Caenorhabditis elegans: one gene and its partner. The protein of the gene in region 1 purifies or fractionates together with the protein of each later gene. This does not show direct contact. Each region holds a gene or a part of one and is shown in the gene's direction. Other genes may lie near its edges. The genes, in order: cit-1.1 and spt-5.

The links.
Region 2: the proteins of cit-1.1 (region 1) and spt-5 fractionate together in Caenorhabditis elegans (co-fractionation; one large-scale study listed by BioGRID). This does not show direct contact.

The regions. Positions count from the first base shown.
Region 1 is NC_003281.10:8,003,478-8,013,097, reverse strand, and holds cit-1.1 (Cyclin-T1.1), read left to right. Parts: upstream 1-3,276; 5' UTR 3,277-3,295; coding exon 3,296-3,373; intron 3,374-3,423; coding exon 3,424-3,554; intron 3,555-3,609; coding exon 3,610-3,691; intron 3,692-3,740; coding exon 3,741-3,860; intron 3,861-3,988; coding exon 3,989-4,049; intron 4,050-4,091; coding exon 4,092-4,157; intron 4,158-4,207; coding exon 4,208-4,259; intron 4,260-4,308; coding exon 4,309-4,399; intron 4,400-4,498; coding exon 4,499-4,586; intron 4,587-4,970; coding exon 4,971-5,036; intron 5,037-5,095; coding exon 5,096-5,145; intron 5,146-5,194; coding exon 5,195-5,307; intron 5,308-5,381; coding exon 5,382-5,465; intron 5,466-5,835; coding exon 5,836-6,054; intron 6,055-6,509; coding exon 6,510-6,615; 3' UTR 6,616-7,165; downstream 7,166-9,620. Other genes in the region: cit-1.2 (Cyclin-T1.2), read right to left, coding at 77-304, 388-1,071, 1,127-1,247, 1,323-1,585, 1,785-1,909, 2,223-2,309; C06G4.6 (uncharacterized protein), read right to left, coding at 7,263-7,460, 7,616-7,741, 7,794-7,851, 8,414-8,498, 8,548-8,638. UniProt on the Caenorhabditis elegans protein: Regulatory subunit of the cyclin-dependent kinase pair (CDK9/cyclin T) complex, also called positive transcription elongation factor B (P-TEFb), which is proposed to facilitate the transition from abortive to production elongation by phosphorylating the CTD (carboxy-terminal domain) of the large subunit of RNA polymerase II (RNAP II).
Region 2 is NC_003282.8:12,047,710-12,058,127, forward strand, and holds spt-5 (Transcription elongation factor SPT5), read left to right. Parts: upstream 1-3,781; 5' UTR 3,782-3,787; coding exon 3,788-3,835; intron 3,836-3,964; coding exon 3,965-4,048; intron 4,049-4,097; coding exon 4,098-4,607; intron 4,608-4,656; coding exon 4,657-5,239; intron 5,240-5,285; coding exon 5,286-6,938; intron 6,939-6,989; coding exon 6,990-7,382; intron 7,383-7,437; coding exon 7,438-7,643; intron 7,644-7,691; coding exon 7,692-7,841; 3' UTR 7,842-8,037; downstream 8,038-10,418. Other genes in the region: T12G3.4 (Strictosidine synthase conserved region domain-containing protein), read left to right, coding at 559-800, 850-1,131, 1,331-2,150; Beta-1,3-galactosyltransferase bre-5, read right to left, coding at 2,223-2,531, 2,585-2,782, 2,827-3,015, 3,066-3,212, 3,265-3,361, 3,459-3,487; K08E4.2 (Glycolipid transfer protein domain-containing protein), read right to left, coding at 8,145-8,460, 8,509-8,607, 8,655-8,759, 8,811-8,932; K08E4.3 (uncharacterized protein), read left to right, coding at 10,039-10,111, 10,185-10,303.

The DNA.
Region 1 (9,620 bases):
ATTTTCCAAGCTAACTCCAAGTCGTCTTTCAATTAACTTGTTAAAACTGATAAGTGTTGCTTTTAATTTAACTTACCGTTGATACTCCATACACATTTTTTGATATGTGGAAGGTTGGGCAGATACCGACATGAGAGGAGGCGGAGCGACTTGATTTAACATCATTTCGTTTACTCCTCGAGCATATGTTGAAATGTTTTGCTGGTGCGTCGTTTGCGAAAAATGATCATTGTGCATAGTAGCTATGGTTGTTGATGACGAAGCAACGAAACTCATCTTGTAATCGATCCTTGGTTTTTTCGAACTGAAAAAGTTTAGTATTATACATTTTAGACTTTTCAGATCTGTTGAGGTATGTTCATGGAGGGAAAACATTATCAAGCGTACCTATTCGTCTCTTCGTACATCATTGACCTTTTCGCTGATCGAGAATCTTCGTTGTATGGCTTCTGATGTTGGTGTGCCGATAGACCGGATGAGGACCTATTCTGATGATTGCTATTGTTTGAAGCTGATGAAGACGTAGAATGGTGGTGAAGAGGATGAGAACTGCTGCTGGGACGGTGTCCGTTACGATGAATTTTCTGCTGAGCAGCTTCTTTCATCCTTTGTTCCATCAACTCTTGCTCGACTACCTTCTGATTCTTTACATCTGGCAGGAAACTCGGTCGCGTTGAAGGCGAATCAGAAGAATTGGAAAGTGGCTTCGGTCGGCCTTTATATGACTCCAAATCGATTTTCTTGAGATTAGACGACGATCCAGAAGGTGTTACTGTAGATGAGACTTGTGGCGGCATTCCGACAATTTTAACCTTTCCGAGTGGATCAATCTTTTTAAGAGACCCAATGTGGAATTGTGGATTTCGGCTGAAGATATCTAGGAATTCCTTAGTCATGGCCTCAACTTCTTCACGAGTCATTGACTGATCTTCTAGTCGGTACCACCTATCAGATAACTCAAATGGAACGATATCGTCCATGTTGATGTTATGAAAGAAGGCAGCTATGTTTACGCAAGCAGTTGCTATTGAAGCACATGAGTATCGCACACTCCAGTCGGTGATTATTAATCTGAAAAATTATATTAGTTGTAATAGTTGGCTCAAGTCAATTAAAGAAAACTTACACATCAGTGGCCATGTAATATGCAGTTTTCACCATATCCTTGTATACATTTCTACCTTTCTCGACATCGCGCATTAATTTTAGAACATACTGATGAGGTAGATCTACATTGATATCGAAGGCTGAAAATACAAAATGAAAAAATACTATTTTTTAATAGAAAAGTCAGTTCGGAAGGATATTGATAAAGAACTTACAAATGGTTTTGAGAAGTACATCCTCTATTAACGTGACGACATTACACTGATCTAAGAAGTGTTGCTCTGATTGAAACTGCTTATTGTGTGGATATTTGAACTGCCACAGTTGTGTAACCACATATTTCAGCTTCTTGGGTGCATCTTCGTTCTTTCCTGCCAAAAAGACACATGCTGCCGCCACGTCTCGGAAATCACACCGTTTGAGCGAGTGAACGTTGAAGAATCGGTTAAACAGAGTTGCCGCCACTCCACTCAGACCGCTGGAATATATCGCAGTGCTCGATGAGGAGAGAATCAAGACATTGTCTCGAAAAGATTAGGAAGCGAAAGAAATGATCACAAGAGATGGCGTTTTTATGAATTGTAAAACTATATGAACCCATCTAAATCCTAAATTTTACAATTCGCCTCACTTGAAATTCACTCGATTCTAAATCTTTATCCTATCACTGCACTCACTGCTCTCCTTTGCCATGTGTCAATTGCATGGCAATGTCAAAGATGAAGACTCCTCCTTGTTGTCGTTTTGACAGCTCCTCCTCGTATGTCATTCCTTCTCGTCGACTTGGAGTGTCCGCCAACATCTAAAAATTAAACATTTGAACACTGAACGGTATTATCGATTAGGTCCCAATAATGCTGGAAAATTTTGAACAACCATCAGTGAATTTTTTTTAGTGTTGCTCGTTTTCAAATGTTCCCCGATTGGTGGAATCTCCTAAAATTCTAATGTCAGCATGTACTAAATACAATTCGATGAAAATATATGTTAGAGTTTTTATGTACGAGCACAAGGACCCGGAAAATTATTTTACGAAAAACCACCAAAAATTTACTTTTTCTGGATAATTGGGAAATTTTTTACCAATAAATTGGAAAAATAAAAAGAAAACATACATCTTGCTTTTTTCGGAGCCAAGGATGAATCATTCTGCCATATCTGGACCCATTCTTCTCTGCGATCAATTTGTTCGAATTCGACATACTGATCAATGCTGAAAAAAATATATAAAAAAGAATATCAAATGTTCACGACGAAACACGATAAAAACAATAAATAGATACAAATAATCGATGAATGAAATGGAATTGCTGAGGGAGGAGAAGGAGGAATAAGCGACGGGACAGCGTCCAAAAATCGATATTACCTAGGAAAGACAAAAATTCGTAGTGGCCATTTACAGAATTATCTCCTGGCAATATCCGGTCAGGATACCGAACAATCGTCAAGACATAAAGGAAACTAGAAAACAACTATCACATGAGCAGAATAAACTTAAATTTCGAAATATTTCATAATTCTGGAACGGTTTTATTCGATAATACCTAGCTGAATTTGCACGAATACAGATCGATCCACTGATTAGCGCATATAAAACACGAACATCCAAATTGTGCTATTGAGAAATTGAAAATCCGAGAATATAAAAATTAGCAATAGCACTCTAGAAAAACGTAATTTTCTCCCGGGACCCGTTGCAAATCTTGGCAAACCTATGATTTTCTGGTTCAAAATAAGTTAAATTACTTAAAAAATCACAAAAACGTTAGAGTTTTTCGGCGAAATCGAAAAATGAACAGTGTTTTTCAGAAAACAAGGAAAAATGGTGTTAGTGATGCAAAAAAGGATTTTCACTCAATGTTCAATGTCAAAAATACATGTGAGCTGAAAAGCACGTGATAATGCAACACTTACGCTTGAAAAATACAGAAAATCGATAAAATTTAACTGAAAATCGGCTGAAAATGGGTAGGTGACTCAGAAAAAAAGCTTTGCCTGCCGCGACGCGACACGCAGCGCGTCCGCTTGAGCGCGCTTGTGTCGTCCAGGTTTCACATTAAAACTGGATTTTTGTGAAGCTTTTCACCGGAATTTTTTATTTTATGACAGTGAAAAATCAAATAATGTGTAATTTTTTGGGGAACTCTGGAAATTTATTCAGATTTTTAGAGAATTAAACTCAAATGCGATGTCGGTGTCGAGTCGAGGCGCGGCTTCCCCAGCACATCGGACCGCGCCAACCAAATGGCTCTTCACCAAAGAGGAGGTGCGAAAATTAGAATTAAAACTCAATAATTAATATTTTGAATTTTTAAGATGAAAAAGACAGCGAGCATTCAAGAAGGAATGAGCAGAGAAGAAGAACTAGCCTCCCGACAAATGGCCGCCGCGTTCATCCAAGAAATGATAGATGGATTGAACAATGTTAAAGATCCAAAAATGAAAATGTAACTTTTACAACGAAAACTTTATCAAAAAATGTTCTTGAAAATGCTTTTTCAGCGGTCACACGGGTCTTTGCGTTGCACATACACATATGCATCGCTTTTATTATTTGCATAGCTTCAAAAAGTATGATTATAGAGTAAGACCTTTATCCGTAAATTGAAAAAATTTTTAAAAATCCATTTCAGGACGTAGGTGCTGCTTGTGTATTTTTAGCGGGTAAAAGTCAGGAGTGTCCAAGAAAATTATCACATGTGATCAGTGTATGGCGGGAGCGAAAGGATAGAAAACAATTGACGACGGAAACTGTGAGTATAGAAATTAAGGTTTTTAAAGATTTTTTCCCCTATTTGTATTTCTAAAAACACTAGAAAGCACAATTGCAATACAAATTTCACGGGTCAAACTTTAGAAACCCGATTTCGTGATTTTTCAGGCTAGGAATGAAGCAGCCCAAATTATTGTTCTTCTGGAGAGCATGATTCTACAGACAATCGGTAAGAACTTTATCAGATTACTTTTAAATATAAAAATTTCAGCATTCGATCTCAACGTTCATCTTCCTCATATTTATGTTCTGGATATCATGAAAAAAGTTGATAAAAGTAAATTGTTAATTTTGAAAAGAAAACAAATAACTGAACATTATTTTCAGAAGAGCATTATCGACCTTTGACATCTTGCGCCTACTATTTTGCCACAGACGTGTATGTTTTCAAAATCATAAATTCAAATGTAATAATTTTTAAATTTCAGAATAGCTGTAACAGACTGGTCACTTCGATATTCTGCAGCGTCAATGTCTATTGTAATTATTCATTTAATGGCAGCCTATGCCAATGTCCGGGTGAGATTTAGAAAAAAATGGTAGTAAAATTGCTTAGAGAAAGATTTCCAAAAATTTTTGAAAAGTAAAATAATCATTAACAATTAATCTAAATTTCAGATAGAGCGATTATTTGCCGATTTCATCAATGAAGATTCACCGTGGTATGCGAAATTTGACGAAACAATGACGAACGAGAAGCTGAGAGGTTCGTAAAATTCGAATTTAACAAAAAAAAACGACATTTAAAGTGCATCAAATTTTGATTTATGGATGCTCGAAATTTAATCAATTTTTTAGTGAGAAGGTTTTTGAGCTGTAAAAATAAATCCTGAATGTTTTTGAAATAAAATACATTTTAAAGTTTTTTTTTAAGTATAAAGTTTCGTTAAAAAAAATAGAATTTACGGTGGAGTATCGTGAATTTTGCTTGAAATTGCCAGAATAGGCTTAAATTTAAAAAAAAAATCATTTAGAGCGTACTCAGGAGCAGTTTTAAAAGTTCGATTTTTGGTTTTTTTTAAAGCGAAATCCCTATTTAAGCAAGACAACATGTTATTAAAATATTTATGAAAAATGGTTTTTTTTTCAGAAATGGAAGTAGATTTCCTTGTAACATATCGGAATTCCTGTCAATTTCACCATGCTTCCAAATTCAGTAAGTTACTTTTAAAAAAATTAATTTTAAGTCTTGATGCATTCCAATTAAAGTTTCAGACTTCCGTGAACATCGTCCTATGCTGGAGAATCCAGACGTACGGAAATTAGTAAGTTGTTTTAAGAAATATCGAGGAAAATGCAAAAAAACGTATTCAGGATCGTACGAGAGATGCCAGAAGTCATAGTCCAATGGTTCATCATGTACCTGATTCTACAGTAAATGTACGACCGAGAGCATACGTTCCGAGAGATGAATTGACAGTTGAAAGGTTAGATTTGTTTTGAAATAAGTACAGCCAGCTAAGAATATTAAAAATAAAACAATTTTGTTTAATTTTTCCAGATTAAACAAAGAACGAGGTGTGGAAGAAGAACGTCGGAAACGAGAACGAGATCGAATGGCTGGAAAACTTGACAGTTCAACGAGGTTCGGCTTTCATATTAAAACGGGTCTTAAAAATTCTCCAATGAAAACCATACAGTATATTTTACTAAAACTAGTATTGCATGCAAGACTTTTTCATTGGTCATTTTGAAGTTTAGAATCTCGTTTCACCTTTTAAAATTTAAAATTTTACGTTACCATATTTTTATGTCAATTGTTTTTTAAAAAATCGAAAATTAATGAAAACTGTTTGAAAATGTTTTAGAACAAATAAAGTATCACAGAATATTATTAATTAAAAATGTTTTTCAAAGTATATTATACTTATTAGTATAATATCAACAATTTACAAAAAAAAAAGTTCAGATTGTGAATAATTACATTTAAAAATAACTGTTAATTGAATTTTCAGTAGTGAAAAGCGTGCTCGAATAGATCCACTTGCCAACAATTTCGTATCTTCATCATCGTCATCAAATGGAAAATTGGCCCCACCTCCAATACCTCCACAGCTTAATTTTCCGCCACCACCAATCGTGTCATCTGGATATAATCACAAAAATCAGATTAATCGAAAGAATCATGAGAATAATCATACAAATTCTTCGGTTTCGCCAGCGTTTGTGCCCAGGTACACATTTCATTAGAGCAATATTATTTTTTAAAAAACGGATACAATAATAGGTTTAAAAAATACGTTGTATCCTAGACAGCTTTAAAAAATCACTGTTTTCTAGATTCTTGGCATTTCCTGGGAAAGCTAGAAAATGCTTAAGTTAGAAGATTTATTTTTCAAAAGTCTAACTTTTCGTAATTTCAAATTTAAAATTTTGTTCGAGATCCATTTGTTTCGAATTAAAAAATTATTTTAATTATCATACCATACTTTATTTATTTATATTTATTCATCAGGCAACAATCATACTTAAAATTTTTAAAAACCTAACTGAGTTTTATTAACCTTCAGAAAATATTGATTCTTTGCCACAAATTTTTTAGATTCGAATGAGCTGGTGGAGAATGTAACATTTTATTTTGAAATAAAAATGTATACATTTCTTTAGAAATACCTAAAATTAATTTTAGTGCTCGAACATTCGACGTGGCTCCAATGCTTACACCACCAACTGCTCCAAAGCTCCAAAGTGCTGATAATTCAGATATGGATTTGGAAGATGGTGAACTAGAATAATTATTTTTAGTTCGTATTTTTATTAGTTGTATCTCCTTTCTTATCCAAAAATCTAGCTACAGATGTTTATTTTTATCTATTTTTGGCTCAATATTTGAATATCAATCCACAAAATCTCTGCCTTGCCCCCATTTACCGTTTCTTTCTTTGCTAATTTATTTGATCTGTTCATTTTTATTTCCTTTTGTTGTTTACTTTCTAAAATATGTTTTTGAAAAGATTTAGCTTATGAAACCCCGATTCCCTAGCATTTCAATGTATTCTTTTTACGCCCATCGTTAAGCACAAAATTCCTCGAAAGTTACAAAAACCCACCGGTTTCAATAGTTTTTCTCACTTGAGAAATTCAATTTTTCATCATCATCATCATCCCTTGTTGATTCTTTCCTCCTCTCACTGTGAGACTTGTCTGTGAAATTTTTTTCTCATTTGCATGGCATTTGTTTTGTTTCCGAGTTATATCAATTGAAACTGCAATTTTTCTGTTCATCTTCATTCTGTACTGTAGCATTATCGAAATTTAGTACATAATGAATGGTTTTTAAAACAATTGAATTGAAAATTAATTACCAATAAATGGGAGAATCTCATCAAGATTTGGGGATAAAATAAAAAAAAGAGATCTTTAGAAAAAAAAAACGATGATTTTAAGCAGAATACGAGAGAATTAAAAATATAATAAGAATAATGACAATAAGGAAAAATGGATTGGAAGGTTGAGAAGCTGTATTATACCAAGGAATTGGATAATAATTTTGTCTTGAATATGGATTATATCCATTTGGATTGTATGTTTGCATTTGTTGCTGATTTATTGGAAGTTTCGAAGCTTCTCGAGCAAATATCTGTAATTAAAATAAGGAAATTGAAAAATTCAAACTTGGGGTTATAGCAAGTGAAAATCAAATTCTTATTTTCAGTAGTTTTTAACAGTACATTTTTCGAATTCCATTTAAGACACTACATACATAACCATTCTCATACTGAAAAAATAACGTACCTGAGGATTATTACAACTTCCCCCTTTACAACAACAAAAGTAACATGGTCCATTTGGTGTATTGACCATACTACAACCTTGTTGATTCACAAATCCAGCACCTTCACCACAAACTGATCCACCGACCTAAAATAGTTTTACGGTAGCTCACTTTTCCGACTAAAAGCTTAGTGCTCACATTTATGGGAAAATTGGATGCACACCCAAAGTTTGCTTGCTGAGTTGCTGGTTGGTAGCTGTAGAAAAATAAATTTGGATTTTAAAGTGATCTACCAAATGTTTTATATTTATTGAATATATAAGTTTGGTTCAGTTTTCACTAAAATATTAAATTCTCTTTTGACCCAATGTTGGGTTTTATCATCAAAAAAGATGATCCAAATCACCTCGGATAGGCTGAAGAAAACGAATTAAATGATGGTTGATTGTAGTATGAAGAAGGAGTAAACATATTGAAATGAATGATGAGAATAATTGAAAGTGAATTGTAGAGTCAACGACATCAAGTACCTCATTCTGGAGTTGTATGTTTGTGTGCAAATAATGAATACCAGTTCATACAAGTGAGAGGGGGTATCCAAAATTAGTCTTCAAAAGGGTGAAGAGCTCAAAGTTTATGGGAAAAGTGGTATTCAATAAAACATGTTTTTAAAAGTATATATTTGAATTTTCTGACTTAGATCTACAATATTCGGTAAGCAGACAGGTACACCCGACCAAAAAATGACCAAAAATTAGTTTTTCTTAACACAACACAATTATACATTTTTCAATTTTTTCTAACAAAAAAAAACATACGATACTGCACACCAATCCCTATTGATCGCCGACCCGCACTGCTGATTCTGAAAACCTCCTTGACTATTTGAAAGCATGTACTGACCTAAAATTAGCTTAATTCATGCTATTTCAGTAATAACCTAATCAATTACCGTAATAACAATTTCCATTTGGCTGTGGTGGACATCCTAAAACGGTTGACTCCATCATAATAAGAATACCAAAAACAATTGAATAAATCATTATCCTCTTTCCAATAAAAAAGTTTCAGAAAATATGAATATTGTCGAAGGTGATATGTAAATGGTGAAATCAAGGAGTGCCTGCATCTTTTTTGTATGCTTTTTCAATTTCTCGGCCCTCAATTGGTTTTGTATAGAATGAATGGAATGTTTGTATATGTACTCTATGACGTTTTTACTATTCCATTTTTTTGGAGAAAATTGAACGAAAAAAATTAAATTGATCAAATGCATTTTGCAAATGTAGTACATTTTGATACGATTACAGTAGTTTCAATATTCAAGTAGGCTCCAAGAGTTGATATATTTTAAAGCATCTACAGAAAAAATCGGAAAGTTTTCCAATTTTTTAAAAGGAGGAGTAGCAGAAATTGAAGACTTTTTCGACGTTTTGAAAATTTTTCAAAAAAGTTATGGAGATTCAAAATTTTGGAAAAAAACCTATTACTAGGTTGGACGAGTTTTGTAAATTTAGACGCATAGAAGATAACTTGTGTTTTTTCAAAATGGGATACCCAGGATCATTCATACCTCGAAGGTTCAGACATTCTTCAAAACATCTAAAAATCGCCGAAAACTTCTGAAACTTCTGCCAACAATATTCTAGTGTCTTACACCTCTGCACAAGGGCTGTGCCGCAAACGGCGAACTGTGTATTCCGTTTTCCAAAAAATCCAGATGTTGCACAGCACTGCTCTGCACCTCGGGCACCACCAGCGTGGATTGATTTTGTAAAATGCCAACTCACCTGCCTAAAATTCTGGTTTAAATTTTGTAATGGACCAAAAAAGAAATAAATATTTTTTTGAATATGAAATTTGAATATATTTCCATTCTTCTCTAGTAAAACCCACTTGTATTTTAAAATCGAAAACTCGATTTTCAAACTGAAAAACTTGAAGTGTTTGAGTTTTTGATTCATTTTTAACTCCTTCATGTTCTTCATGTGTTTTTTTTGTTCTTATTGGATGGTTATTCCAGTC
Region 2 (10,418 bases), on another chromosome or scaffold:
CAATATGCAGACCTGAAACTTGAGTCTGGTCTCGCAACGACTTGTGATTTGGCACTTGCGCCTTTAAGAAACTCTCACTACGGTAGACAATTAATTTTTGCCTCAAATTTCTGAATTAGATTTTTATTTGTTATGTGTTTGACTCATAATCGGAAATGATTTATTTATTTATTTAACTATAAGTATTTTTATTTAAGTATATGTACATACGTCAATAAATTATTCACTTCAAGAACAACTTTTTTAAAAATAATTTCACTTGTTTTGTTCACATATTTTTGCAACAGAATCTGTTCCCTCAAAATTCCGTTCACAAATTAAAAAAATTACAATTGGAATAGAAAAATATCCTAGCTTCATCTTCGATACGTCGCGATACCATCTTTGGTTCTTTGCAAATGTTTGCTTCCAAAAGTGACCTCTCCTACAATACCTGCGTCTCAAAAATGTAAACACACTTCACCGTTCTATTCGCCTTTCTCAATACCAGTCACCCGCTTTTTCTTACTCATACTCATCGTTTCCTACAAAAATTTTATTATTCAGCTTCAGAAACAGATGAAGAAATCAGACGGAAGCGTCAGAAGAAGACGTGGAGAAGATGATGACGGTGGAAGAGTGGTACCACTGCCAGAGAAGAAACATAAAAAGGTTCCGAAGTCACAGAAACCTGGATTAATTCTCCGGATTCTGGGAAGCACACCGGTGAAAATCGTGCTCGGACTTCTGGGATCTTTGATTATCGCAGGCCTTCTGACGAATCGGATCATCAATGCACCCATCAAAGCAGTCGAGTTTGAGTATGTTTTATTAGAATTCTTAACATTTATTTATTCAATTTTTTTTCAGTCTCGGCGACAAGATTCCGTTGGAAGGAGTTCTTGCTGTCAATAAGCGACTAACCGATGCAGAACTTCTCCTTGTAGATCAAGTATACGGCCCGGAGTCACTTGTTCTTGACGAGAAAAATAGTAAACTGTATGCTGGATTCAAGACTGGAATAATTGCGGAAATCGATATGAAAGAAGGAAGAGAAAAGATTGTTCATGCTGTTCAACTTGCTCAGGGAAATCATGATTGTGATGGTTCCTACAAAAAAATGAATTTGTGTGGGCGTCCGCTCGGATTGAGGTTAGATGTAGATGGGGTGGGGGGGGGGGGGGCGGGGGGGAAGAATCTTTCTTTATTATCATTGTGATAAGATAAGATATGCAAATTCGATTCGTCATGAGTACAACAAATCAAATATTTTGAAAGTGAAGAGATATTAATGTCGGGGTTTCATGATTTGCTTTTTAAAAATAAATTTTGTTAATACAAATATTTTCAGATTGAGCGACGTCGGCGAGCTGGTCATTGCTGATGCGTATTTGGGATTGTTCGCTATAAATTGGCAAGAGGAGAAAGTTGTGAAAATCCTCGGAGCTGGAGAATTGCCTGCAAACAACGAAAATGCTGCTCCAATCAAATATTTGAATGATTTGGATATTCTTCCCGATGGAAGAGTTATTTTCACCGAATCATCAACGAAATTCGACGATCGTGATTTCATTCTGGATCTCTTCGAACATCGTCCAAATGGTCGTCTCTTGATTTATGATCCAAGAAAGAAAGATTTGAGAGTACTGAAAGATGGGCTATATTTCCCGAATGGAGTTCAATTAAGCATTGAAAAAGGAATGGGAAAGAATGCTCCATGGCGGGTGCTCTACAGTGAAATGGGATTAGCTCGAGTTATGCAGATTTGGGTTCCAAGAGATCATTATTCAACAGCACCTGTTAAAACTTCACCGCTTATTGAAAATCTTCCTGGATATCCGGATAACATTCGTCTTACAAAATCCGGGCACCTTCTCATTCCAATCGCATCACATCGTTCCGAAGAAGACCGATTCCTTGAACAAAATCCATCAGTTCGAGAATTTATCACTAAAATTCTATCTCCACAAGCTCTTGGATATGTTGCTAATTATGTCGCTGATGTAGAAGGTCTTGTTATCAAAGTCAACACGGAAACTGGTCAAATCATCGAGTCGTATCATGATCAAACAGGACGAGTTGAAGCCGTCTCAATTGCGATTGACGATGGAAAAGGAAGAATGCTTCTGGGAAGTGATGTTAACTATTATATTGCTCGAGCTAAACTTTGAATATTTAATTTTTATTTCTTACGATCTCTATTGATATGTTGAAAATTATATGAAAAAAATTCAAAATACAATTTATTCGAACCCGTTTAACTGGCTATACTCGTATTCAAGATCTTTCCTGGCATATCCATGAACTGCAATTACACCATCATCCCATTCTTTTTGAGACACTCGTCGACACCAGAAGATGAAGTTCTCATTATGAGTTGCTGCGACATTCACTGTTTTGGCGAGAATACCCGTAAAGACATCATCGAATGGAAACATTTTCAGTTTTCTAATTGAATTTCTGAATCGCGCAATGGTTTCGGAAGTGAGGAAGACAGCGCCAGCGGAGACGTATGGAGGATATCGTGAAAATGGATACTCATTCAGCGAAATCTGTAACTTGTAATAATTTGGAAATAGGTTTTTTTTTTACTTGAAGCACTTACGCTGTGTTTGTGGATCTTAAGCCTGAATGGTGACGTGTCAAATACGAAGCCTTCGTAAACAAGTTCCTCTTTTTGTTTAGTTTTTGCGAATTTTACAAGATTTGGGATATGTACCAAATAATCGTCATCTACCAGAAAGGTAAAGTCTGGAGAAGAGCATTGATTTGGATTCGCAGCGTAGTCAATGGCGCCAAACAACTGAAATTAGGTTTTTATTGAGAAAAGTGTTCAAGAAAACAAACTTTTAAGGTATTGTTCCGATATGAATCTATGTCTGATATTGCAAGAATATCCTTATACTTCTCCGATTCTACATCAATTCTTCTCATTATCTCCATATTTTCCACTCTTCCCACAATGAAGATTGGCATAACTTCGACTCCATCAATCATTCGAAACACTCCCCACGTCTTTCTTACTGACTCTCGCATCTGAATATTGTTTTTTTTAAATAGAAATTTGATTTTCTGCAAATACTAACCGGTCCATTTTTCGCACTTGACTTGATTATAATAATAATAATCTTTTGTCCATTGCCAGAAAATTTGCACTGTGGATATTTTGTAAACTTGCTTCGCAATTGTAAATTACGCGTTTCCAGTGGCCAACTGAAGTCACCAAAACTCGTCTGAAAAATATAATCATTATGTTTAAATAATTTTTTCTGGCGTATAAAGTACCTCTCTAAACTTATCCACAACTCCAAGTACCCATAGAAGAAAAATCGTAATCGTGAAAATTAAAAGCTTTTGAAACGAAGAAAGTTCATGATATTTTCTGAAATGAAATTAAATATTTATGCGAAATTGAAGAGCAAAGCAATACTTCTTAAAGCTTTGAGATTTTTCAAGCGTATCCACAGAGAATTTCCTACCTTTTCAAAATCCGCACGCATAAAAACATTAAAATGTTAAATAAATATATATTTAATGCGCGGCAAGTTGTGGGTTTTGGACGTGAACACCAGATTGCGTACCGGGCATCGGAACCGACGACAATTTATTTCTTCTTCATTTTCTTCTTCTTTTTTGCGCTTAATTTCTTCTAATCATTTATACCTATAAAGTTAATCATTTTTTCAATTGATTGATTTACTTCTTGCCTAATTTTCTGAATTTTTAAGCGTTGTCCTAAATCACACGCGTTCCTCCTCATTTCTCTGCCCCAAGTTATTTGAAATTTACTTAAATGTTTCAGTTAGCAATGTCCTCTGACGAAAGTGATGCAGCCTCAAACAAAGAAGAAGACACGGTTAGTTATCGATTTTTCACTCTATGATTTGAGATTCGATCGATTTCGCCGAAAATAACAAATAAGCTTTCATGGAAAATTCACAAATTATGCGACTTTACTTATTTATCGATTTTTATCCTCTTACAGACTTTGAGCGATGATGATGGCTCAGATGTTGAAATCAAAAATTCAAAGAAGGACAGAAAGCGGAAACTTGCTTCAGAGAGTGAGGTGAGTGAAAACAATTAATTTTAAAGTTACAATCCTGTCGGTTTTTCAGAAAAGTGGCTCGGACGATGATGATGACGACGATGACGATGAAGATGAAAACGTGACCAGCAAGAAATCTAAAAAGCAGAAACGGAAGAATAAGGCTCCTTCTGGACGAGATTTTCTTGCTTGGGATGTTGAAGTCGACGACGAAGACGAAGACGACGACAATGATTACGATGACGAAGACGATCCAAGCATGAATGCAATGAACGAGCGAGAGGAAGCTGAGCGTGCGATGAAAGAAATGGAATTGAGTCAACGGAATAGAGATCGGTACAAGTTCCAAAACATGACGGAAGACGAAGTCCAGAAATACTTTGAGAACAAGTACAAGGGTGACAAAAACGACAGTCAATATGATGACGAAGATTCAGCTATGGATGATATTTCAAAAAATTCTCATCTTCCATCCACGAAGGATCCTAACCTGTGGATTGTCAAATGTCGCATGGGAGAGGAAAAACTCGTAGCGATGCATCTGATGCGTAAATGTCTTGCGGTTGAGCACACAAACGAGGTAATTGATAAATGTCCCGTAATAATGATTGCATTTAATCAATTTATAGCCATTCCAAATCAAATCAGTTGTCGTCAAGGAAGGACTCAAAGGAATGATCTATATCGAGGCGTTCAAACAATCTCACGTCATGTCTGCAATTGAAGGATTTTCAGCTCTCAATCAATTCACTATAACCATGGTTCCCATCAAAGATATGGTAGATGTATTGAGAGTTGTCAAAGACATTCCACAGTTGAAACTCGGATCATATGTTCGTTTGAAAAGAACAATGTACAAAGATGATCTGGCTGTCGTTGATCTTGTGGATATCGCTCAGAACCGTGTCAACCTGAAATTGATTCCCCGTGTCGATTATCAGAAGCGGCGCGGAGCAATGAGAACTGATGCTGATAAAAACTATAAGCTGAAAAGACGCCCAATGCCCAAGTTATTTGATCAGGATACCATCAAAGAAGTTGGAGGAGAAATTGTGACGGACGGAGACTTCTTAGTATTTGAAGGAAATCATTTCCGGCGAGGATTCCTCTACAAGTACTTCCCCATAAACGCAATTCAAGCTGATGGTGTTAAACCAACTCTTGGAGAACTCGAAAAGTTCCAAGAATCTAGCGATGATCTCAAGAGAGAATGTAAGTTTTTATTCCTTTATTCTTTTTTAAAAATACTTTTTTTCAGTGGAAACGGCTTCTCTCAAAGACACAGAAAATCCATTTGTTCCTGGAGATATCGTCGAAGTGAAAGCTGGAGAGTTGGTGAATCTTCGGGGTAAAGTGATGACGGTCGATGGGACGAAGGTTGTGATGATGCCAGATCAAGAAGATTTGAAAGAAGCAATCACTTTGAACGCTCATGAGCTCAGGAAATACTTCAAGGAAGGAGATCATGCAAAGGTTATTAGTGGACGATACGAAGGACATACTGGATTAATTGTCCGAGTAAAAGATAGCACAGCCATAGTTTTGTCTGATCTTGGAATGGAAGAATTGAAAGTTCGTGTACGAGATTTGCAACTTTGTGCTGATGTGACAACTGGAGTGGACTCACTGGGACAGTTCCAATATCATGATCTTGTACAGCTCGACCATACAGGAAATGTTGGAGTAATTGTTCGATTGGAGAAGGAACATTTGGAAGTTCTCAACATGCACGGAGTTGTGAATCGTATAAAGCCACAAGCTATTATAGCGAAAAAAGACGTTCGATTTGCGAAAGTTCTCGACAGTCAAAACAATTCCATCGAGGCTAAAGATCTGGTAAAAGTAATTGGAGGACCAAACGCAAAGGAGCGGGAAACCGATGAGGATCCAGTTGGAGAAGTTCTCTATGCGTTCCGTGGAACTGTCTTCGTTTATTCTCGCAAAGTGACTAAAAATGGAGGAGTCTTGGTTTGCAAACCAAAACAACTGATTTTACAAGGAGCTAAGAAAACAACCAGTACACCGATGGTTTCTCGAATGGCTTCACCGAATCCTATGGCATCACCAAGACATTCTTCTGGAGGAATGACTCCTCGTTCTCCACAAGATGGTATGTCAAGTCGTGGAAGCAGTGGTGGACAAACTCCGAGACAAGGTGGAGGAGGAGGACGTGGTGGTCATTTTGGAACTGCAAATCAACAAAAAGTTCGTCGTGATCTTACCCTCATTGGAAAAAATGTTCGAATCATCAAAGGTCCGATGAAGGGCCACTTTGGAATTGTTCGAGATGCCACAGAAGACACAGTTCGTGTCGAATTGCATACACAATGCAGAACGATTTCTGTCGATCGTGCTCGTGTGATGGTTGTCGGAGACACTGGAATAACAGCTGGAAGTGGAGGTGGAAGCTCGTTCTACAGTTCTTCGAAGACACCGATGCGCGACTCTGGCAAAACTCCAATGTATGGATCGAAGACTCCGATGTATGGAGCACAAACACCGATGTATGGCTCGATGACTCCAGCTTATGATGGAGGAAGAACACCGGCGTATGGAGAAGGTGGACGTACCCCTGCATATGGAAGCAAAACTCCAGCATATGGAGATCTTGATGAACATTCATCATCACGTACTCCAGCCTATGGAAATGACAGTTCAAGAACTCCTGCTTACGGTAGTGCTGATGGTGCACGAACTCCTGCCTATGGAAGTACGGAAGGTGGACGGACTCCAGCATACGGATCAATGGACAACAGTAGAACTCCTGCATATGATGATTCTGGAAGAACGCCTGGCTATGAAAGTATGCCATCGAGAACTCCGAACTATGATTCAAGCAGTAAGACTCCAGCCTATCCAGAATCCGAACATTCCGCCAGAACTCCAGCATACAATAATGATTATGATATTCGTGAGTTGAACCATTACATATCTTTGCAATTTTTAATTTTTAATTGTTTAGCGTTGAGTCCGGCATACGAGCCCGATGCACCTGAAGCGTATGACAATGCTCCAGCAAGAACTCCAGCATTCGTGTCCCGTACTCCAGGATACGACACATATGAGAACAGCAGCCCGACATACGAACCAGATGCAGCTACAAAAGTTGAGGAAGACATCGGAGACACTTCGTCTCCAACTTATGATTCTCCTCCACACTCGTACGTTGTGCCAACTCCAGGTGCAATGCTCAATCCAGCAACTCCGGGAGCCTATCACGTTGATACACCTGGATTCGCTGCTCCAATGACGCCAGGAAGTGGAGGAGCATACGATCAATATGTTGCGCCTTCTCCATTCGCTGGCTACGACAGTAACAACTACAACAATGCCGATGGAGCTATTGAGCAAATTCGTAAGTTGCTCAAGATTTTATTTGAATTATAGTGAAGCTAATTTCTTATTTTTAGCGGACCACTTCCTGGCTCAAGGTGTGTGGATTGTGCAGAATCTGTGTGTGCAAATCAAGGACCACGAAGGGCGATTCAACGGACGTGAGGCGATCATTAAAGATGTTACCGATGGAAAAGTGGATGTCTACATGCCAGATCACAAGTGCAACTTGGAAGTTGATTTCGATCAGCTAACTCCAATGAAACCGCAACCAGGAGATGATGTAAGAAAATATTAAATTGAAAATGCTAAATGAAATGTTAACTTTAAGGCTCGAGTGATTTTCGGACAAGATGCAGGTCACAGTGGACAACTTGTTTCCATGGATGGATTCGAAGCAGTTATCCGATCACAGGAAGACATGTCAGACATGCGAGTCATCAACATTGGATTGTGCTGCAAAATGCATAGCGAAACTTGAAAAGTTGTTCACTTTACTATTTATTCTCCAATTTTTCTTCGCTTTTTTCTGTTCAAATGTTATTCGACACTCGACGAGTTTCACTTCGTTGTGTCTATTTTTTGGTGTCACCCTTTGAAAATCGTTCATTTATTTATTTATTATACACTGTTTTATTTGAATTAAACATTTCTTAAAATGATTGCTGCTTTTCTTTTTCAAAAACAAATACACTTGTTGTACAACCAAGAGATATAATGAAAAGTTTAATTTCAGAGAACATATTTTTTGTGAGATCAAGAATGAAGAGGGTAGTAAAGAGATTCAGGCTGAAGGATTATAATCAGTTAGTTCGAAATTTTCAACTAGTTTGTTCACTCTTCGCACAATATCTCGTCCGTCTCGATTGAAAATATCATGGAATTGATTATCATCGTCCTCTGGCATATCACCACGAAGTCTACATAGAAATTCTGGTTTTCGAGGCAAAGTGTAGAGAGCCGCAGCGACAGCAGTTCTGATTGGCCAAGAATGAAGTTGAGAAAGATGTTTGTCATAAGAAGAACGAGCGATTGTCGATACATTTTCATCATTCGACGTGAACACTCCATCCAGCAAATCGATGACGAATTCAAGAGCTCTGAAATGATGAACTCATTGATTTTCTCTTCTACGAATCCACGAATACCTGTTAAGAACCATCAAATGTCCAGTGCCGCTTCTATTTGGTTTCTGATTTCGAATAGTTCCATTCTCCGACTCCTTCGTTGCCATTCCGATGATAGTTCTGAAAATCAGGAATTGAAAAAATATTTCGACAAATTAAATATTCACCTGTAAGAATCTGGATCCGACGATCTCATTTGCGTGAGCTTTTCCAATTTTGCAGTGACATCCTTCACGACAAAGCTGAAAATTGTTCCCCAAGAGCACATGACGCTGAAATAGAATGATTCAGAGTTAAAATTCTAGAACATCTGTGTGACTCACTTGCAAACATGCTCCCAAAAGAGCAGATATTGTTCCAAATCGACATTGTCATTCTCGATGATCGATTTCTCTATTGTTTTCATTATCTGATAGGTCTCCGGCTCCGAGCCCAACTGTTCCATTTCGGACAATACGCTGAAAAAAAAAACTTGCCATGTATCAGAACAAACACAAAAAAGGCAATAAAATACTGGAGGGCACAGAGAAAAACACAGTTTTTTTTGTTTGGAAATTTGCACTTTTGGAGCCGGAAACAAATGCTTAGCATTGTTTTCGGGGTTTTGACACACAAATTCCCCGCGAATTTGTTCCTTTTCTGTGAGGTCGAGAGATCGATTTTGGCAGAAATTTTTGCCGTTATAATTCAGTTTGTTTTCGAGGAGAAGAAATCAAGTAAACAACTGAATTTTATTGCGAAAGGGGGAAAATAATGATATGTAGATCATTCGTTTAGAACATATGAACTGAACTACTTTTTAACTTCTTTCAAATCTTATTACAAGAAGATTTTTGAAAATTATTTTTAAGGTTTTTAATTTCGAAATGCCACAATAAGTGAATGCCGGTCTCGGCATGATTGGAAAATTTTTGCAAAAAACGTGTGCGCCTTCAACGGGTACTGTAGTATGCACTGCTCGCTGATTCTGACTGTTTCGTTGTTTCTTTTATAATCTGCCTGATTTTTGTAAATTTACGTAAAGAGTGCTTTAAATTTAAAGAAAAACCTAAATCTAGAAAATAAATATGCAAAACATCGAAGTAAACTGCGAGTGTAGAAACTACAGTAATTCTTAAAGGCGCACACCCTTTTCCACAGAATTCATTTTAAAAATTGCAATCGTGTCGAGATAAGATACCGTATTCTTGTGACATGAATCGCAAAATTTTGCATTTCTGTAATAAGAAACGCATTACAAAGGTTCGATTGCCGTCATGTTATGGATTGATCGAGAAATAATCCGACCATCTATGGCACACCTCATCTACATAACTGTTGAATTTTTCCTAAACCGGTGTCATGAACCCGTCCCGCTCCCCTCACTCAAACAATGACTCATCTCCCGTCCCAATCACAGCTGTCCCCTATGCCTCCGCCTCTTCGTTTTGTGTCGAACGAGACGATCACAGGCCGTTGTCAAGTATCTCTAGAGATCTCTCTCATTCAATTCTTCTCATTTTCACTTACCTCATCGTCAAATTCATCATCACTTGTCACTTACTTTCAGACATGTACACTCTATTGCGAATTCTAACATCTATTCTTCTCATCGCATTTGCCAACTCATATGTATCAGATTACGGTAGGTCTAAGTTTTATTTTAGATATCAAGATCTAGACTTTATTATTTATGCCAACGTAATCTTTATATTCAGTTGAAAAATCCTCGGAAGCATCAATTGAGGAAACAAATTGGGTCGATGAGAAAGAAATTCGTGATCGTCTCTCTGTGATTGCCGCCGAAAAATTCTCACACCACTATCATGAACACCCGGTATGTTCATCATAAAAAAGAGACAATGTTTCACACTTTACTGTAAAACGGGTATGACGTATGAACAAAAAACGAACAAATTATTTTTTACAACATACCAATCGAAATTGGTTGA